Ovis aries: one gene and its partner. The protein of the gene in region 1 interacts with the protein of each later gene in a pairwise test. Links are inferred from orthologs where the notes say so. Each region holds a gene or a part of one and is shown on either strand. Other genes may lie near its edges. The genes, in order: PAK1 and RHOJ.

The links.
Region 2: the proteins of PAK1 (region 1) and RHOJ interact in binary tests that used the Homo sapiens proteins (3 or more experiments, as listed by UniProt). The link is inferred for Ovis aries from reciprocal best matches to the Homo sapiens genes PAK1 and RHOJ.

The regions. Positions count from the first base shown.
Region 1 is NC_056074.1:16,253,185-16,261,981, forward strand, and holds part of PAK1 (serine/threonine-protein kinase PAK 1), read left to right. Parts: intron 1-2,388; coding exon 2,389-2,488; intron 2,489-6,512; coding exon 6,513-6,709; intron 6,710-8,797. UniProt on the Homo sapiens protein: Protein kinase involved in intracellular signaling pathways downstream of integrins and receptor-type kinases that plays an important role in cytoskeleton dynamics, in cell adhesion, migration, proliferation, apoptosis, mitosis, and in vesicle-mediated transport processes.
Region 2 is NC_056060.1:73,554,180-73,563,675, reverse strand, and holds the start of RHOJ (rho-related GTP-binding protein RhoJ), read right to left. Parts: upstream 5,134-9,496; 5' UTR 4,783-5,133; coding exon 4,539-4,782; intron 1-4,538.

The DNA of each region.
Region 1 (8,797 bases):
CTTATGGCAGAAAGTGAAGAACTAAAGAGCCTCTTGATGAAAGTGAAAGAGCAGGGTGAAAAAGTTGGTTTAAAACTCAACATTTAGAAAACTAACATCATGGCATCTGGTTCCATCACTTCATGGCAAATAGATGGGGAAATAACGGACTATTTTTTTGGTCTCCAAAACCACTGCAAATGGTGACTTCAGCCATGAAATTAAAAGACACTTGCTCCTTGAAAGAAAAGTTATTACCAACGTAGACAGCATATTAAAATAAAAGCTGAGATATTACTTTGCCGACAAAAGTTCCATCTAGTCAAAGCTATGGTTTTTCCACTAGTCAAGTATGGATGTGAGAGTTGGACTATAAAGAAAGCTGAGTGCTGAAGAATTGATGCTTTTGAACTGTGGCATTGGAAAAGACTCTTGAAAGTCCCTTGGACTACAAGGAGATCCAACAAGTCCATCCTAAAGGAAATCAGTCCTGAATACTCATTGAAAGGACTGATGCTGAAGCTGAAACTCCAATACTTTGTCCACCTGATGTGAAGAACTGACTCCTTGGAAAAGACCCTGATGCTGGGAAAGATTGAAGGCAGGAGAAGGAAACGACAGAGGATGAGATGGTTGGATGGCATCACCGACTTGATGGACATGAGTTTGAGCAAGCTCCGGGAGTTGGTGATGGACAGGGAAGCCTGGCGTGCTGCAGTCCATGGGGTTGCAAAGAGTCAGACACAAGTGAGCAACTGAACTGAACTGAAAAAGAAACTCCATACCTATTAGCAGTCACCCCATCCTGCTGCCCCCGCCCAGCCTGTTTCCCATCCCTTCCAGCCCTATGCAGCCACTAGTCTATTTTGTGTCTCTGTTGATTTGCTTATTCCAGGTATTTCATATAAAGGTGATGTGTTCTGATTGGCTCATTTTGCTTAGTGTAATATTTTGAAGGCTCATCTGTTCTATAGCATATGTCCTTTTATTAACAAGTAAGATTCTGTTTATTTGCCTGTCCATCAGCTGATGGACATTTGGGTAATTTCTACTTTTTGACTCTTATGGATAGTGTTGTGAACATTCATGGATAAGTTGTTGGTTGAATATGTTTTTACTTCTCTTGGGTATGTGCCTAGGAGCGGATCTTCTGGTCATGTAGAGACTTTATGTTTAATATTTTGAGGACTGGCCAAGATGTTTACCACAGTGGCTGTACCATTTTATATTCCTACCAGCAATGCATGATGGTTCCAATTTCTAGAAATCATCCTTTCTGTTTATAATTTTTGACATCCAGAGGCCAAAGTCTCCAGCCTCCTTAGGAAAACAGGTCTTACTTTTCCAGGGAAAAGCCGCTTCTGGATATTGGTTTGTTTTTAATTTAGCCATTGATGTATTCTTAGAAAGTAAAGTATTAAGCTGAGAATATTTCAGTACTGTCCTCTAATTGGTTTGCATCTTTTTCATGTTTTTTAATTGGTGGAAGCCTCTAAATTTTAGCTTTGGGTTATGAACTTCCTAATAGATTTAGTAGTAACCTTTATAGCATCTTTTCTGACCCTCACCTTTTACAGATGGGAAGACAGTAGCCCAGAGGGAATAAGAGATTTGTCTAAAATAATTTTATTGGTCAGAACCAGGCATTTTTATTATTCTTTTCAGTCTCTATATTATTCATTCTGCCTATTGAGTCTGTGTGTTTTCCAAGGTTCTTTTCTTTCTTCTTTCTTTACTGTAGCATTTGCCAATTTCAACTATTACCATAACTTGAAAGACTTGTAAACGTTTATTTCAAGTCCAGCTTCTCTACAGCACTCAAGATTCACACCTGCAGTTGCCTGCTGGACATTTGTCTGCAGATGTTTATGGGAATGTAAAAAGCAGAATACAGCAAACAGTACAAACTACCTCACCAAAATAAGATTATCTTCCTAAATTCACGGCTTCTAGTATCTTTCCATTTGTTTAGTTTCCCAAATGTGACTGTTATTTGTCATTTTCCTGTAGTTTTTTCTTTACAAATTCCTTTCCATTCTTCCTCAGTATTTTTTTTTTGCCTTGGGTTCTTTGTCAAGGTGCTAACGTTCTGTAAACAATTCTAAAATACTTTGGAGGAATTCCTGTACCTAAAACTGTTATAAGCTATGTTATAATACACTGTGGTCAAGTATCTTATAAGAAAAGTATGAGGCAACACCAAATATTAAAAAAAAAAAAGTATGTTTAGTAATGAGACAAGAGACTGGATTTTAGACCTGCCTCTTCCATTTATTTGGAGTAAGTTCTTTTACTCACTGGGGTCTCACTTTTGTTATCATAAAATGAGGAGGTTGGATTAGTGATTTTCTGTAAGTCTTCATAATTATTTGTCCTTTCTCTCTCCTTTTGCCCACATCACTTCAACAGTGCCTGCAAGCTTTGGAGTTTCTGCATTCAAACCAAGTTATTCATAGAGACATCAAGAGTGACAACATCCTGTTGGGAATGGATGGCTCTGTCAAGCTAAGTGAGTAGGAGTGATAATCACTTCTCTTCTCTCTGAGACCCTGTCTCCTCTGGGATGGTAATCCTATGAGAGTAGCTACAAGACTCACCAAAGAATCTATTTCCTTGGATATGCCGGCACTTTATGTTACTCAGCACTATATAGGATGACATTTCCCCCCCACTCATTTATACATTAAATGAAAAACATTTATTGTGATGGGCAACAAGGATACTTTTGCCTATATTTAAGTAGTTCTCAACCTACTATGGGAAACATAAAATACATAATTAGAAAAGAGAGTTTAGTGTAATAACTTTCATTCAGTCATTCATTTAGCAAACTTTTATAAAATGTCTGTTTATGTGGTTGGCCATCTGAGAATGAAAAATGTGAGTAAGAACACACAGTTCTTATTGAAGGCCTCGTAATTAAGTGAACATATAATAGCAATATAATATAACTGCAGGCAGAACATTCTGTTCAGAAGTGTAAGGACCAAGAATCCAGAGAAAGAGATTGTGTCACAGGTGGATGGGCAGCTTATGGGAGGACTGTTTGCAGTCTCTACCCTGGGGCACAAGAGGAGGAACTTATTAAAGCAGGGTCATGCCTCAGTTCAGTTCAGTCGCTCAGTCGTGTCCAACTTATTGCGACCCTATGGACTGCAGCACACCAGGCCTCCCTGTCTATCACCAACTCTGGAACTTGCTCAAACTCATGTCCATCAAGTCAGTGATGCCATCCAACCATCTCATCCTCTGTCGTTTCCTTCTCCTGCCTTCAATCTTTCCCAGCATCAGGGTCTTTTCCAAGGAGTCAGTTCTTCACATCAGGTGGACAAAGTATTGGAGTTTCAGCTTCAGCATCAGTCCTTTCAATGAATATTCAGGACTGATTTCCTTTAGGATGGACTTGTTGGATCTCCTTGTAGTCCAAGGGACTTTCAAGAGTCTTCTCCAACACCATAGTTCAGAAACATCAATTCTTCAGCACTCAGCTTTCTTTATAGTCCAACTCTCACATCCGTACTTGACTGGTGGAAAAACCATAGCTTTGACTAGATGGAACTTTTGTCGGCAAAGTAATGTCTCAGCTTTTATTATAATATGTTATCTAGGTTGGTAATAACTTTTCTTTCAAGGAGCAAGTGTCTTTTAATTTCATGGCTGAAGTTACCATCTGCAGTGATTTTGGAGCCCCCCAAAATATTACTGTTTCCCCATCTATTTGCCATGAAGTGATGGAACCAGATGCCATGATGTTAGTTTTCCGAATGTTGAGTTTTAAGCCAACTTTTTCACTCTCCTCTTTCACTTTCATCAAGAGGCTCTTTAGTTTTTCTTTGCTTTCTGCTATAAGGGTAGTGTCATCTGCGTATCAGAGGTGATTGATATTTGTCCCGGCAATCTTGATTCCAGCTTGTGCTTCATCTAGCCCGGCATTTTGCATGATGTACTCTGCATATAAATTAAATAAATAGAGTGACAATATACAGCCTTGACATATTCCTTTTCCTATTTGGAACCAGTCTGTTCTTCCATGTGCAGTTCTAACTGTTGCATATAGATGTCCAAGAGGTAGGTTCGGTGGTCTAGTATTCCCATCTCTTTCAGAATTTTCCACAGTTTGTTGTGATCCACATACTCAGAGTCTTTGGTGTAGTCAGTAAAGCAGAAGTAGATGTTTTTCTGGAACTCTCTTGCTTTTTCGATGATCTAATGGATGTTGCCAGTTTGATCTCTGATTCCTCTGCCTTTTCTAAAACCAGCTTGAACATCTGGAAGTTCACAGTTCATGCATGTTGAAGCCTGGCTTGGAGAATTTTGAGCATTACTTTACTAGCATATGAGATGAGTGCAACTGTGCATTAGTTTGAACATTCTTTGGCATTGCCTTTCTTTGGGATTGGAATGAAAACTGACCTTTTCCAGTGCCGTGGCCACTGCTGAGTTTTCCTAATATGCGGGCATGTTGAGTGCAGCACTTTCACAGCATCATCTTTCAGGATTTGAAACAGCTCAACTGGAATTCCATCATCTCCACTAACTTTGTTCGTAATGATGCTTCCTAAGGCTCACTTGACTTCACATTCCAGGATGTCTGGCTCTAGGTCAGTGGTCATACCATCATGATTATCTGGGTCATGGAGATCTTTTTTGTATAGTTCTTGTGTATATTCTTGCTACCTCTTCTTAATATCTTCTGCTTCTCTCATTTACTGTGCCCATCTTTGCATGAAACGTTACCTTCGTATATCTAATTTTCTTGAAGAGATCGTTAGTCTTTCCCATTCTGTTGTTTTCCTTTATTTCTTTGCACTGATATCTGAGGAAGGCTTTCTTCTCCTTGTTATTCTTTGGAACTCTTCATTCAAATGGGTATATCTTTGATTTTCTCATTTGCTTTTTACTTCTCTTCTTTTCACAACTATTTGTAAGGCCTTCTCAGGCAGCCATTTTGCCTTTTTGTATTTCTTTTTCTTGGGGATGGTCTTGATTCCTGTCTTCTGTACAATGTCACAAACATCCTTCCATAGTTCTTCAGGCACTCTATCAGATCTAATCCCTTGGGTCTATTTGTCACTTCCACTGTATAATCATAAGGGATTTGATTTAGGTCATACCTGAATGGTCTTGTGGTTTTCCCTACTTTCTTCAATTTAAGTCTGAGTTTGGCAATAAGGAGTTCATGATCTGAGCACAGTCAGCTCCTGGTCTTGTTTTTGCTGACTGTATAGAGCTTCTCCTTCTTTGGCTGCAAAGAATATAATCAATCTGATTTTGGTATTGACCATCTGGTAATGTCCATGTGTAGAGTCTTCTCTTGTGCTGTTGGAAGAGGGTGTTGCTATGACCAGTGAATTCTCTTGGCAAAATTCTATTAGCCTTTGCCCTGCTTCATTCTGTACTCCAAGGCCAAATTTGCCTGTTACTCCAGGTGTTTCTTGACTTCCTACTTTTGCATTCCAGTCCCCTATAATGAAAAGGACATCTTTTTTGGGTGTTAGTTCTAGAAGGTCTTGTAGGTCTTCATAGAACCATTCAACTTCAGCTTCTTCAGCCTTACTGGTTGGGGCATAGGCTTGGATTACCGTGATATTGAATGGTTTGCCTTGGAAACAAACAGAGATCAATCTGTCATTTTTGAGATTGCACCTAAATACTGTATTTCGGAGTCTTTTGTTGACTGTGATGGTGACCCCATTTTTCCTATGGGATTCTTGCCCACAACAATAGATAAAATGGTCATCTGAGTTAAATTCACCCATTCCTGTCCATTTTAGTTTGATGACTACTAAAATGCCTATGTTCACTCTTGCCATCTCCTGTTTGACCACTTCCAATTTGCCTTAATTCATGGACATAACATTCCAGGTTCCTATGTAATAGTGCTGTTTACTGCATCGGACTTTGCTTCTATTACTAGTCACATCCACAGGTGGGTGTTGTTTTTGCTTTGGCTCCGTCTTTTCATTCTTTCTGGAATTGTTTCTCCACTGATCTTCAGTAGCATATGGGACACCTACAGACCTGGGGAGTTCGTCTTTCAGTATCCTATCTTTTTGGCTTTTCATATTGTTCATGGGGTTCTCAAAGCAAGAAGACTCAAGTGGTTTGCCATTCCCTTCTCTAGTGGACCACATTTTTTCATGCCTAGTTGTAGATGATTAGGGTTTCATGCCTGAGAAATTAAATAAGGACCTAGTAACCAGATACTGGTATATGGGGATGGTTTTCAGGAAGAAAGCAGAATTTGGGTAGGTAATAAATGTCAAAATGGGCAGCTTAGCCTTTAATGCTAATGTTTATGGTTTGAGGAGGAGTAGGAAGGCAGAAATGATGTTTCATGTGCCTCCTTAAAGTCTGACCAGGGCACAGCCTAGGAGCTGGATATGAAGGTGGCAGTTATGTGACTCCAGCTTTGGAGAGACAAGGGATGTAGTGGTTAGGACACTGGCAGAGCTTGATACCTTGGGGTAGGCACACAGTATTTACAGAAGAAACACTCTGCATATGAACCGCTTCTGTCTTTTCTTTTTCAGCTGATTTTGGATTTTGTGCTCAGATCACCCCAGAGCAGAGCAAACGCAGCACCATGGTGGGAACACCATACTGGATGGCACCAGAGGTTGTGACCCGGAAAGCCTATGGGCCTAAGGTTGACATTTGGTCCTTGGGCATCATGGCCATTGAAATGATTGAAGGAGAGCCCCCATACCTCAACGAAAACCCTCTGAGAGTGAGTGTTACTAGTCCCATATCAAGATGTTTGGGCTGTTGGATTTCTCTTTTCTGGATCAAACTAGGCAGTGATAAAGTATACATGCTTAAAGAAAATGTAAATTAGCAGTCATTCATTCATATATTCAGTGATTATTTGAGTTCTAATGGGCAAGAAACTGTTGTGATAATAATAAAACAAATTAATATATAGTAACAGAAGATAAGAGCTGTGAAAGAAATAGTAAGGGGCTTAAGAGAGTAAGAGGAGGAAGGACAGAGAAGTATGCTGTTTTATTCTAGGTGGAGAATGAATTCCTCTCTTATAAGTTATCTGAGGAGACATCTGAAGAAAAAAAAGGAATGAAAAAGTAAAAAGAAAACTGAAAAAAGGAATGAGTTTTGAGATTAATCTGAAGTAAGAATTTTCAAGTTATCAAGTGTATAAAGAACTTGTTTAGAGAACATACTTGATACATCCTTGGGAAAACCAAGGAGACTAATGTCCCTGAAGTGAGTGAGCAGAGTGGACAAGGTTCTGACCATGTTAAGTTAAAATGTTTATTAGACATCTTAAATGGAGGTATTGAGTAGAATTGGGCATAAGAGTTCAGAGTTCAAGAGTGAGCATTCAGGACTCGAAATACAAATTTATTAGTAGGTATTATATGGTTGGTTTATTTAAAAATCAGAGGTAGATGATAATGAGATCACACACTTAGGGAAAGAGGTAGTACTGAGACCTGGGATACTCTCATATTTACAAATTAGAGGAACCAGCAAAGTTGATCAATGGGCAGCCTTCCTGGTAGAAGGAGAACTGAGAGATGTGTCCTGGAGGCCAAGAGGACAAGTGTTTTGAGAAGGAGGATGGACCAGTGTGTCAAATGTGACTAAGTTGCATTTAAGCCAATGCGAAGTAATGATCATTAGATTTGCCTGTGTGAAGGTTGTTGATGACTTTGACAGTCAGTTTCACTGGAGTGATGGGAACAAAAGCCTGATTAGAGTAAATCCACCAGAGTGAAGAAATGACATGTATAAGCAGTTACTTTTCATCGTTTTCTTTCAGAGGAATTTTGCAGTTATGCTAACAGAGAAGTGAGTGGAGCCATATCTTGAAGTAGCGACTAGGGGGGTTTTCTTTTTTTGTTTTTTGTTTTGAAGATGATATTATCATAGCATGTTTTTGTGCTGATGAGAATTATCTAGTAGAGAGGAAAATGGTCATGTACAAGAGGGATGTGACGTCTGTAGGAGAGATAGTGATATCGTTAAGTAGATCGGGGGGTTGGATGAAGTACTGAAGTAAAGATCATCAAATTAGAACTTGGACAGTTTGTTATTATAATAGGAGAGGGAAAGCAGTGTAAGTGAATACAGATACAAGTAGGTTGATAATTTTGATCATGGGCAAATGTGAGAGTTATTCTGATTGTTTTTATTTTGTTATTTATTCCAACCTCTCACTCAGTGCAAGAATTCCCAGAGTTTTGTCGCTAATCAACAGTCATGTAGTTTTAGCCAGTTACCTCTTGGATAGCCCTGATTATTGAAAAGTGTTTTAGTGTACCAAACTGAAACTACCTTCCATAGTTTCTTTCCTTGCCTCCCAGTATTGCCCTGTGGATCCACATGCCACTCATCTTCCTCCACCTTAGAGTGGCCTTGAAAATGATGATGATTAGTAGTAACAGAAATGAGACTGGGATCAAAGTCAGAGGACATAAGCTTGTGTAAACAGCACAATCCCAAGCATATCTCTTTATGTTTTAGGACTTTATCTGTGAAATGGGGATGATAATTCTTGCTCTGCCTATTACCCAGAGTTATTGTGGTCATTAAATGAGATAGTGTTTGTGTAAACACTTATGAAATAAAGTTCAGATTGCTTTAAAAGGTTTAGTATGATGTTTTTCTTTATCTTTCCCAGGATATGGCTTCATATTAGAGAACCAAGATGGCAACAGTGAAACAGATTGCTCCTTTACAGACTAGTTCCTTTATATATTCTTTTCCTGCTAGAAGAGATCAGTTTTTAGATGACTGAGATGATGGCACCAGGAATAATAAATTTCCTTCAATAAATGGGCAGGTGTTTAACTCA
Region 2 (9,496 bases), on another chromosome or scaffold:
CAATCAGTTCATACATGAAGAGGATGGTGGTAAAGAGAGTTAGGGTCTTTGTGGTGGAGAAGATCTCTCTACTGATGAAAATGTTCACTTCATTGGGCTTCATATACAAAGGTGTATATGGCTCACATCTTTATTTCCCTTAAAGATGTGAGATATTGTGTACTTTAAAAAGGTACAAAGTGTAAGCTTGTGAGATACTGTGTACTTAAAAAATGTACAAAATGTAAAAGTAACAATGTTTGGGAGTGGCTACTATGAGCAAAAGAACTGTACAGAACTATATGAAGATCTTCACGACCCAGATAATCATGATGGTGTGATCACTCACCTAGAGCCAGACATCCTGGAATGTTAAGTCAAGTGGGCCTTAGGAAGCATCACTACGAACAAAGCTAGTGGAGGTGATGGAATTCCAGTTGAGCTGTTTCAAATCCTAAAAGATGATGCTGTCAAAGTGCTGCACTCAATATGTCAGCAAATTTGGAAACTCAGCAGTGGTCACAGGACTGGAAAAGGTCAGTTTTCATTCCACAGAAATGCAATGCCAAAGAATGCTCAAACTACCACACAATTGCACTCTTCTCACATGCTAGTAAAGTAATGCTCAAAATTCTCCAAACCAGCCTTCAGCAATACGTGAACCATGAACTTCCAGATGTTCAAGCTGTTTTTAGAAAAGGCAGAGGAACCAGAGATCAAATTGCCAACATCTGCTGGATCATGGAAAAAGCAAGAGAGTTCCAGAAAAACAACTATTTCTGCTTTACTGATGATGCCAAAGCCTTTGACTGTGTGGATCACAATAAACTGCGGAAAATTCTGAAAGAGATGGGAATATCAGACCCACCTGACCTGCCTCTTGAGAAATCTGTATGCAGGTCAGGAAGCAACAGTTAAAACTGGACGTGGAACAACAGTCTGGTTCCAAACAGGAAAAGGAGTATGTCAAAGCTGTATATTGTCACCCTGTTATTTAACTTATATGCAGAGTACATCATGAGAAACGCTGGGCTGGAAGAAGCACAAGCTGGAATCAAGATTGCTGGGAGAAATATCAATAACCTCAGATAGCAGATGACACCACCCTTATGGCAGAAAGTGAAGAACTAAAGAGCCTCTTGGTGAAAGTGAAAGAGGAGAGTGAAAAAGTTGGCTTAAAGCTCAACATTCAGAAAATGAAGATCATGGTATCTGGTCCCATCACTTCATGGGAAATACATGGGGAAACAGTGGAAACAGTGTCAGACTTTATTTTTTGGGGCTCCAAAATCACTGCAGATGGTGACTGCAGCCATGAAATTAAAAGACGCTTACTCCTTGGAAGAAAAGTTATGACCAACCTAGATAGCATATTTAAAAGCAGAGACATTGCTTTGTCAACAAAGGTCCCTCTAGTCAAGGCTATTGTTTTTCCAATAGTCATGTATGGATGTGAGCGTTGGACTATAAAGAAAGCTGAGCACCGAAGAACTGATGCTTTTGAAATACGGTGTTGGAAAAGACTCTTGAGAGTCCATTCGACTGCAAGGAGACCCAACCAGTCCATCCTAAAGGAGATCTGTCCTGGGTGTTCTTTGGAAGGACTGATGTTGAAGCTGAAACTCTAACATTTTGGCCACCTAATGTGAAGAGCTCACTCATTGGAAAAGACCCTGATGCTGGGAAAAATTGAGGGCAGGAGGAGAAGGGGATGACAGAGGATGAGATGGTTGGATGGCATCACCAATTCAATGGACATGAGTTTGGATAAACTCTGGGAGTTGGTGACGGACAGGGAGGCCTGGCGTGCTGTGGTTCATGGGGTTGCAAAGAGTCGGACACGACTGAGCGACTGGACTGAACTGAACTATGAGCAAAGTATTGCTTTGGTAATAGTGGCTGTGATATCTTGAGAGCTAAAACAAGGAATAGCCAAAATCTAGATGCTTTAATGCTCAAATAACAGCAAGTATGTATACAACTGAAACAAAATAATTTGTTCCTGGTGAAATCTAGAGGTGGTCCAGCCTTTGTTTCCTCTCTGATGTTTTTTATAGGCTGATTTTACCTCTAAAGACAATTTTATCCTTTTTCTTTCTGACACTGTGTTGTAATTGGTTTGCCCTAAAGTTGGAGATGGGATATGTAATTTAAAAAATTATTTATTTACTTATTTTAATTTTGCTGCGTTGGTTCTTAGTTACAGCATGTGGGATCTTTCAGTGCAGCTTGTGGGCCCTCTGGTTGTGGCATATGGGCTTAGTTGGCCATGGCATGCGGGATCTTAGCTCCCCAACCAATGAGTCCAATTCATTGCAAGGCAGATTCTTAACCACTGGACCACTAGAGAAATCCCACGGATAAGCAATTTTTAAAATCACTCGAAACCTTGTGGGTTCTATTTTTTTTTGTTAGCAGTTTTTGAAATTAGGTAGTCCTTTGGACTGTAAGGAGATCAAATCAGTCAATCCTAAAGGAAAGAACCCTGGCTATTCATTGGAAGGACTGATGCTGAAGGTGAAGCTCTGATACTCTGGCCACCTGATGCCAAGAACCAACTCATTGGAAAAGACCCTGGTGTTGGGAAAGACTGAGGGCAGGAGGAGAAGGGGATGACAGAGGATGAGATGGTTGGATGGCATCACTGACTCAATGGACGTGAATCTGAGCAAACTCCAGGAAATAGTGAAGGACAAGGAAGCCTGGCATGCTGCAGTCCAAGAGGTCACAAAGAGCTGGACAAGACTTAGTGTCTGGATGACAACAACAATCTGCCAGTTCCCTAGCCTGGCAGAAAGAGAATGTAGAATAAATAACCTTTGCTAAGATGTTTACAGTCAAGATCCTATTAATTTTCTTAAGTTGCAGACCTAATCTTACAATTAGATTTTTTTTTTTCTCTCCTCAGGGTGAAAGTCTGTCTGTACTTCTCTTCTTTCTGTTCTCATTAAAAGGTTCTTCTCTGGGCATGTATGTGTGTGTGCTTAGTTGCTCAGTCATGTCTGACTCTTTGTGACCCTATGGACTGTAGCCCACCAGGCTTGTCTGTCCATGGGATTTCCCAGGCAAGAATACTAGAGTGGGTTGCCATTCCCTTCTCCAGGGGATTTTCCCAATCCAGGGATCAAATTCAAGTCTCCCAAGTGCAAGCAGATTCTTTACCGTCTGAGCCACCAGGGAAACCCTTCTCTGGGCACAGCCATTAATTTCAGAAAAGCTTAAAGGAATTAGTGTTCAAATTTGCTCTTAATTTCTACAAATATAGAAAAACCTGTTAGAGAGTGGATGCTATTTTCACTGTGGTTTTCTCCCTGACTGCTATGTAATAGTGTCATAAATCAGGTACATCTAGCAGGAGGAGGAGACGTAGGTGACTGTTTAGTTCTAGAAAAGAAGCTACTTCCTATAGAAAGGATTTCAAATAGCCTCACAGCAAAGCCAGCACTCAAACAGGTTTCCTGTGGGCTATTTCCCCTCTGCTGCTCTGGACCCAAAGCCAAAGTGAAGAAGAGAAATTTCCCTATCACAAAATCTCAAATCTGGTAACTCAAGCTGATCTTATAGTGATCAAGCAGTTCATCATATTCCAAAAAGTTGTAAAATCTGGGCTATTGTAAATTGAAACATTTTGTGAATTTGCTTTTAAGAAGTTTAATCGGATTTACTTTAGAGATTAAGAGAAAAATAAGAGTCAAAGTGGAAAAAATTAGATAAGCGATCACATGAGAAACTTTGGAACACTCAATATAACCAAAAGAATTAAGCTGTTACTACAGTATCTTAACTGTCAGACCTTAAAATATTTTATGCCATATTTTGTACTTTCGGGACATATGTTGAAATAATTAAGAAATTTTATATTAATCTTTATTTTTACTTTTAAAACATATTGATTAAAAACCTCTTTTAATTCAAAATACAGATTGCCTAACAGATATTTAAAATCTTTGAATACTTTTTCTTCAATCTACTTCCACAGGAAAATGAAAGTACATCAGGATAGCACCAATTGTTATGGAAAAATGAATGTTCTAATACTACTAATTTCAGCATTTCATTTATAAATGGCATGGGGTGAATATATGAGAAGTGGCAAGAACACTTCTTTCACCAGTTGTGTAACTAGTGGGTTTTTTTTTTTTTTGTAAAAGAGAATTGTGACGCACCACATCGTTAATCAGCTATACCCCAATACAAAATAAAAAGGTAAAAAGAACTGCGATGCAATTACAGTACATTTTATAATGTTCACATTAAAGAAAGTTGATGAATCTTCAGGCAAATATTAAGTAACATTTCTAGCCCCAAAGTCTAGACGGCAATGCTGCGTATTTCTCCAGCATTATTCATTTGGTTTAAGTGGAGAAAAGGGTTACAGTAAAAGTGATATACAGGTTGTTCTAACAACCACAAAGACCTTGGTTGCTGTGACGCCCAGCTACCTGGCTTGCGCCAGGCCTGCACCCAGGACTGGCAGTGGAGATAAGCCAGGCCCCTCTGAAGCAGGGATGTTACCTCCCACACCTGTGACGCAGGGGTGGGTTTCCCACTTTTCTTACCTGCGTAGTGATCGAACACAGTGGGCACGTACTCCTCGGGGAAGGCGTCGTTGGCGTAGCTCATCAGCAGGCAGGTCTTGCCCACGGCACCGTCCCCCACCACCACACACTTGAGCATCTTTTTCTCCTCGTGGCCACCGCAGCCGCAGCTGCTGTCATTTCCCTCCTGGCAGTTCATGCTCGCGGCTGCAGCTGCTGTGACTGTGCTGTGGCTGTTGCTTCTCCCACTTCTTCCAAAGCCCATGAAGCCCGTGGCAGGCTTGAGATCACTCTGTCTTACTCTGGGTAACTGGGACCCTGCAGGCTCGTCCGAGGTGGCTGGCACATGCCCTTTCACTTACCATACTGATCAGGACAGGTAGCACACTGGGGAGGGTGATTAAAAGCATCTGTCCCTTTCCCCCATCAGTTCAAGTTAAGAAATCCTCATCTTCACCGAATTATAGGGCATTCCTGGGAGTCCTGAAATTTCAGCAGCTAGAGGGTTTCACTTTGGTCCCCTGTTCTCCAAGCCAGAGGGAAGACACTGTGGAATTTTGCTAAATCTTCCCCGTTTTCCACTTCACATCTAACATGGAGGAAAGCTGGGCTTTTTAAATGGAGTTTTGCCTTGCTTCCTCCAGCTTGCCGAGTGTCAGGAAATCATGGGTTTCCTGCTGCATTCCATATTAGGATCAGTGGGCTGGAGAAGGCTGCAACAATGGGAGCTCTGTGTGTGTGTGTTTGTACTTCTGGGGAACGCTGCCAGGACATGGAGTGGGAAAACACTAGGGGTCCCACTGCAGACTCAAGCTGTCAGACTTCCTGTTTCATCCAGGGCTGGAGAGCCTGTTTGCCTCTGGCTGGCTGGGAAGAGGCTGACGAAAGGATGAAAACCCCGGAGTCCTGTCTGCCACAGAAACATGGGGAACCACACCAGCCGTTGTAGGATAATATATGACATCATTCCTCACTGAGTCACCAGTTGAAAGCTCTGCAAATTAAAACTGGACAGTTCTTCACATACTTAAACAAGAAACCGTAAGAAATTTGTCCTGGCAATAAAGAAGAAAACCTTCCAGAGTTTCACTGTTTCAAAGGGAAATGTTCTTGTAGATTGTAGGTTTAAGATGTGTGATCAGGTTTATAAGCTGCCACATTTGAGCTCAACACTCGTACGTGTATTCCAGACACAAACATTTTTATGGTTGTAGCACATAAGAAATCAATCAGATGTGGGATGTTTGCATCTTCTTATTAGCGAATAAACACACATGTCTTGGCTCACCCTTACTTTTGGAAATGAGAGTATGTGGGACAGCTTTATTGGTTTGTTTCAGGTCTCCAAACGCTGCTTTTTCTTGAACAGTTCCATTTTTGATTTAGTCTTCTCCCTTTGGTCAGCCTGGTCCTCTTCAATTACAAAGGAGCCATTGGCACCTAATTTATTTGTCTGTTGGGTCACTCAAAATGAAGCCCCTTTGAAGCACTGAGTGTGATTAATGTACTCAATCTTAGAAAAGCAGTGGAACTCTGCAAGTGTTTCTGACAAATGGGTCAAGTACGTTTTTGATGCAGGAACTGTGTGTTTCTTTGAGATTTTTGAGAATTGATTTTAAGAATTCAGATTATCCAATTGATTTGAGGAGGTTTTTTTTTTCTCCCCAGGGGTAGGGTGAGAAGTCTGTTTTAATGAGTGGCTATAAAGAATTCTCCTGCCAATGCAGGAGATGCAAGAGATGTGGTTTGATTCTTGGGTCAGGAAGATCCCCTGGAGTAGGAAATGGCAAACCACTCTAGTATTCTTGCCTGGAAAATTCCTTGGACAGGGGAGCCTGGTGTACTATAGCCCATGGGGTTGCAAAAGTCGAACACAACTGAGCACATGTGCACTTACTCATGCATCAATAATATATATATCCACATACATATGCTACTGTAGAACCAATATATTCTCATATTTCTTCTGTGTTGGATTGTAGTAACACTTCCCATAGTGTTTAGTGTCCCAATATTTCTTTTCTATAAGGAGATGATGTTTTGGTTAGGTTGTTGTGTTTCTACCAAATTATATTGCTATAGCAACTCCCAATGCTCAGTAATTTAAAATAACATCTATTTCAATGAGGTATCACTTCACACCTGTTAGAATGGCTATCATAAAAAGTTTACAAGCAGCAAGTGTTGGTAAGGAAGTGGAGAAAAGGGAACCTTTGTACAATGTTGGTGCAAATGTAAATTGGTGCTGTCACTATGAAAAACAGTATAGAGTTTCCTCAAAAATGTAAAAGAGTTACCATGGCGGTGGTGGTTTCATCGCTAAGTTATGTCTGACTCTTGCGACCCCGTAGACTGTAGCCCTCTAGGCTCCTGTGTCTATAGGATTTTCCAGGCAAGCATACTGGAGTGGGTTGCCATTTCCTTCTCCAGGGGATCTTCCTGACTCAGGGATTGAACCTGGGTCTCCTGCACTGCAGCAGTTTCTTTACTGACTGAGGTACCAGGGAAGCCCAAAAAAGGCCAAAGAAATATGTATAGACCTTATTTAAAAAGTAAGGCTGTTGTAAAAATGACATCAATAGACTTGCTTGACACAGAGTTACCATCAGTTCAGTTCAGTTCAGTTCATTTCAGTCGCTCAGTCGTGTCCGACTCTTTGAGACCCCATGAATCGCAGCATGCCAGGCCTCCCTGTCCATCACCATCTCCCGGAGTTCACTCAGACTCACGTCCATTGAGCCCGTGATGCCATCCAGCGATCTCATCCTCTGTTGTCCCCTTCTCCTCCTGCCCCCAATCTCTCCCAGCATCAGAGTCTTTTCCAATGAGTCAACTCTTCGCATGAGGTGGCCAAGGTACTGGAGCTTCAGCTTTAGCATCATTCCTTCCAAAGAAATCCCAGGGTTGATCTCCTTCAGAATGGACTGGTTGGATCTCCTTGCAGTCCAAGGGACTCTCAAGAGTCTTCTCCAACACCACATTTCAAAAGCATCAGTTCTTCGGCGCTCAGCCTTCTTCACAGTCCAACTCTCACAGCCATACATGACCACAGGAAAAACCATAGCCTTGACTAGACAGACCTTAGTCAGCAAAGTAATGTCTCTGCTTTTGAATATACTATCTAGGTTGATCATAACTTTTCTTCCAAGGAGTAAGTGTCTTTTAATTTCATGGCTGCAGTCACCATCTGCAGTGATCTTGGAGCCCCCCAAAATAAAGTCTGATACTGTTTCCACTGTTTCCCCATGTATTTCCCATGAAGTGGTGGAACCAGATGCCATGATCTTCGTTTTCTGAATGTTGAGCTTTAAGCCAACTTTTTCGCTTTCCTTTTTCACTTTCATCAAGAGGCTTTTGAGTTCCTCTTCACTTTCTGCCATAAGGGTGGTATCATCTGCATATCTGAGGTTATTGATATTTCTCCCGGCAATCTTGATTCCAGCTTGTGTTTCTTCCAGTCCAGCGTTTCTCATGATGTACTCTGCATATAAGTTAAATAAGCAGGGTGACAATATACAGCCTTGACATACTCCTTTTCCTATTTGGAACCAGGCTGTTGTTCCATGTCCAGTTCTAACTGTTGCTTGCTGACCTGCATACAGATTTCTCAAGAGGCAGGTTAGGTGGTCTGGTATTCCCATCTCTTTCAGAATTTTCCACAGTTTATTGTGATCCACACAGTCAAAGGCTTTGGCATAGTTAATAAAGCAGAAATAGATGTTTTTCTGGAACTCTCTTGCTTTTTCCATGATCCAGCAGATGTTGGCAATTTGATCTCTGGTTCCTCTGCCTTTTCTAAAACCAGCTTGAACATCTGGAAGTTCACGGTTCACGTATTGCTGAAGCCTGGCTTGGAGTATTTTGAGCATTACTTTACTAGCATGTGAGGTGAGTGCAATTGTGCGGTAGTTTGAGCATTCTTTGGCATTGCCTTTCTTTGGGATTGGAATGAAAACTGACCTTTTCCAGTCCTGTGGCCATTGCTGAGCTTTCCAAATTTGCTGACATATTGAGTGCAGCACTTTGACAGCATCATCTTTCAGGATTTGAAACAGCTCAACTGGAATTCTGTCACCTCCGCTAGCTTTGTTCATAGTGATGCTTTCTAAGGCCCACTTGACTTCACTTTCCAAGATGTCTGGCTCTAGATTAGTGATCACATCATCATGATTATCTGGGTCGTAAAGATCTTTTTTGTATAGTTCTTCTATGTATTCTTGCCACCTCTTCTTAATATTTTCTGCTCCTGTTAGGTCCATACCATTTCTGTCCTTTATCCAGCCCATCCTTGCATGAAATGTTCCCTTGGTATCTCTGATTTTCTTGAAGAGATCTCTAGTCTTTCCCATTCTGTTGTTTTCCTCTATTTCTTTGCATTGATTGCTGAGGAAGGCTCTCTTATCTCTTCTTGCTATTCTTTGGAACTCTGCATTCAGATGCTTATATCTTTCCTTTTCTCCTTTGCTTTTCGGCTCTCTTTTTTTCACAGCTATTTGTAAGGCCTCCCCAGACAGCCATTTTGCTTTTTTGCATTTCTTTTCCATGGGGATGGTCTTGATCCCTGTCTCCTGTACAGTGTCATGAACCTCTGTCCATAGTTCATCAGGCACTCTATCTATCAGATCTAGGCCCTTAAATCTATTTCTCAATTCCACTGTATAATCATAAGGGATTTGATTTAGGTCATACCTGAATGGTCTAGCGGTTTTCCCTATTTTCTTCAATTTGAGTCTGAATTTGGCAATAAGGAGTTCATGATCTGAGCCACAGTCAGCTCCTGGTCTTGTTTTTGTTGACTGTATAGAGCTTCTCCATTTTTGGCTACAAAGAATATAATCAATCTGATTTTGGTGTTGACCATCTGGTGATGTTCTTGTGTAGAGTCTTCTCTTGTGTTGTTGGAAGAGGGTGTTTGCTATGACCAGTGCATTTTCTTGGCAAAACTCTATTAGCCTTTGCCCTGCTTCATTCCGCATTCC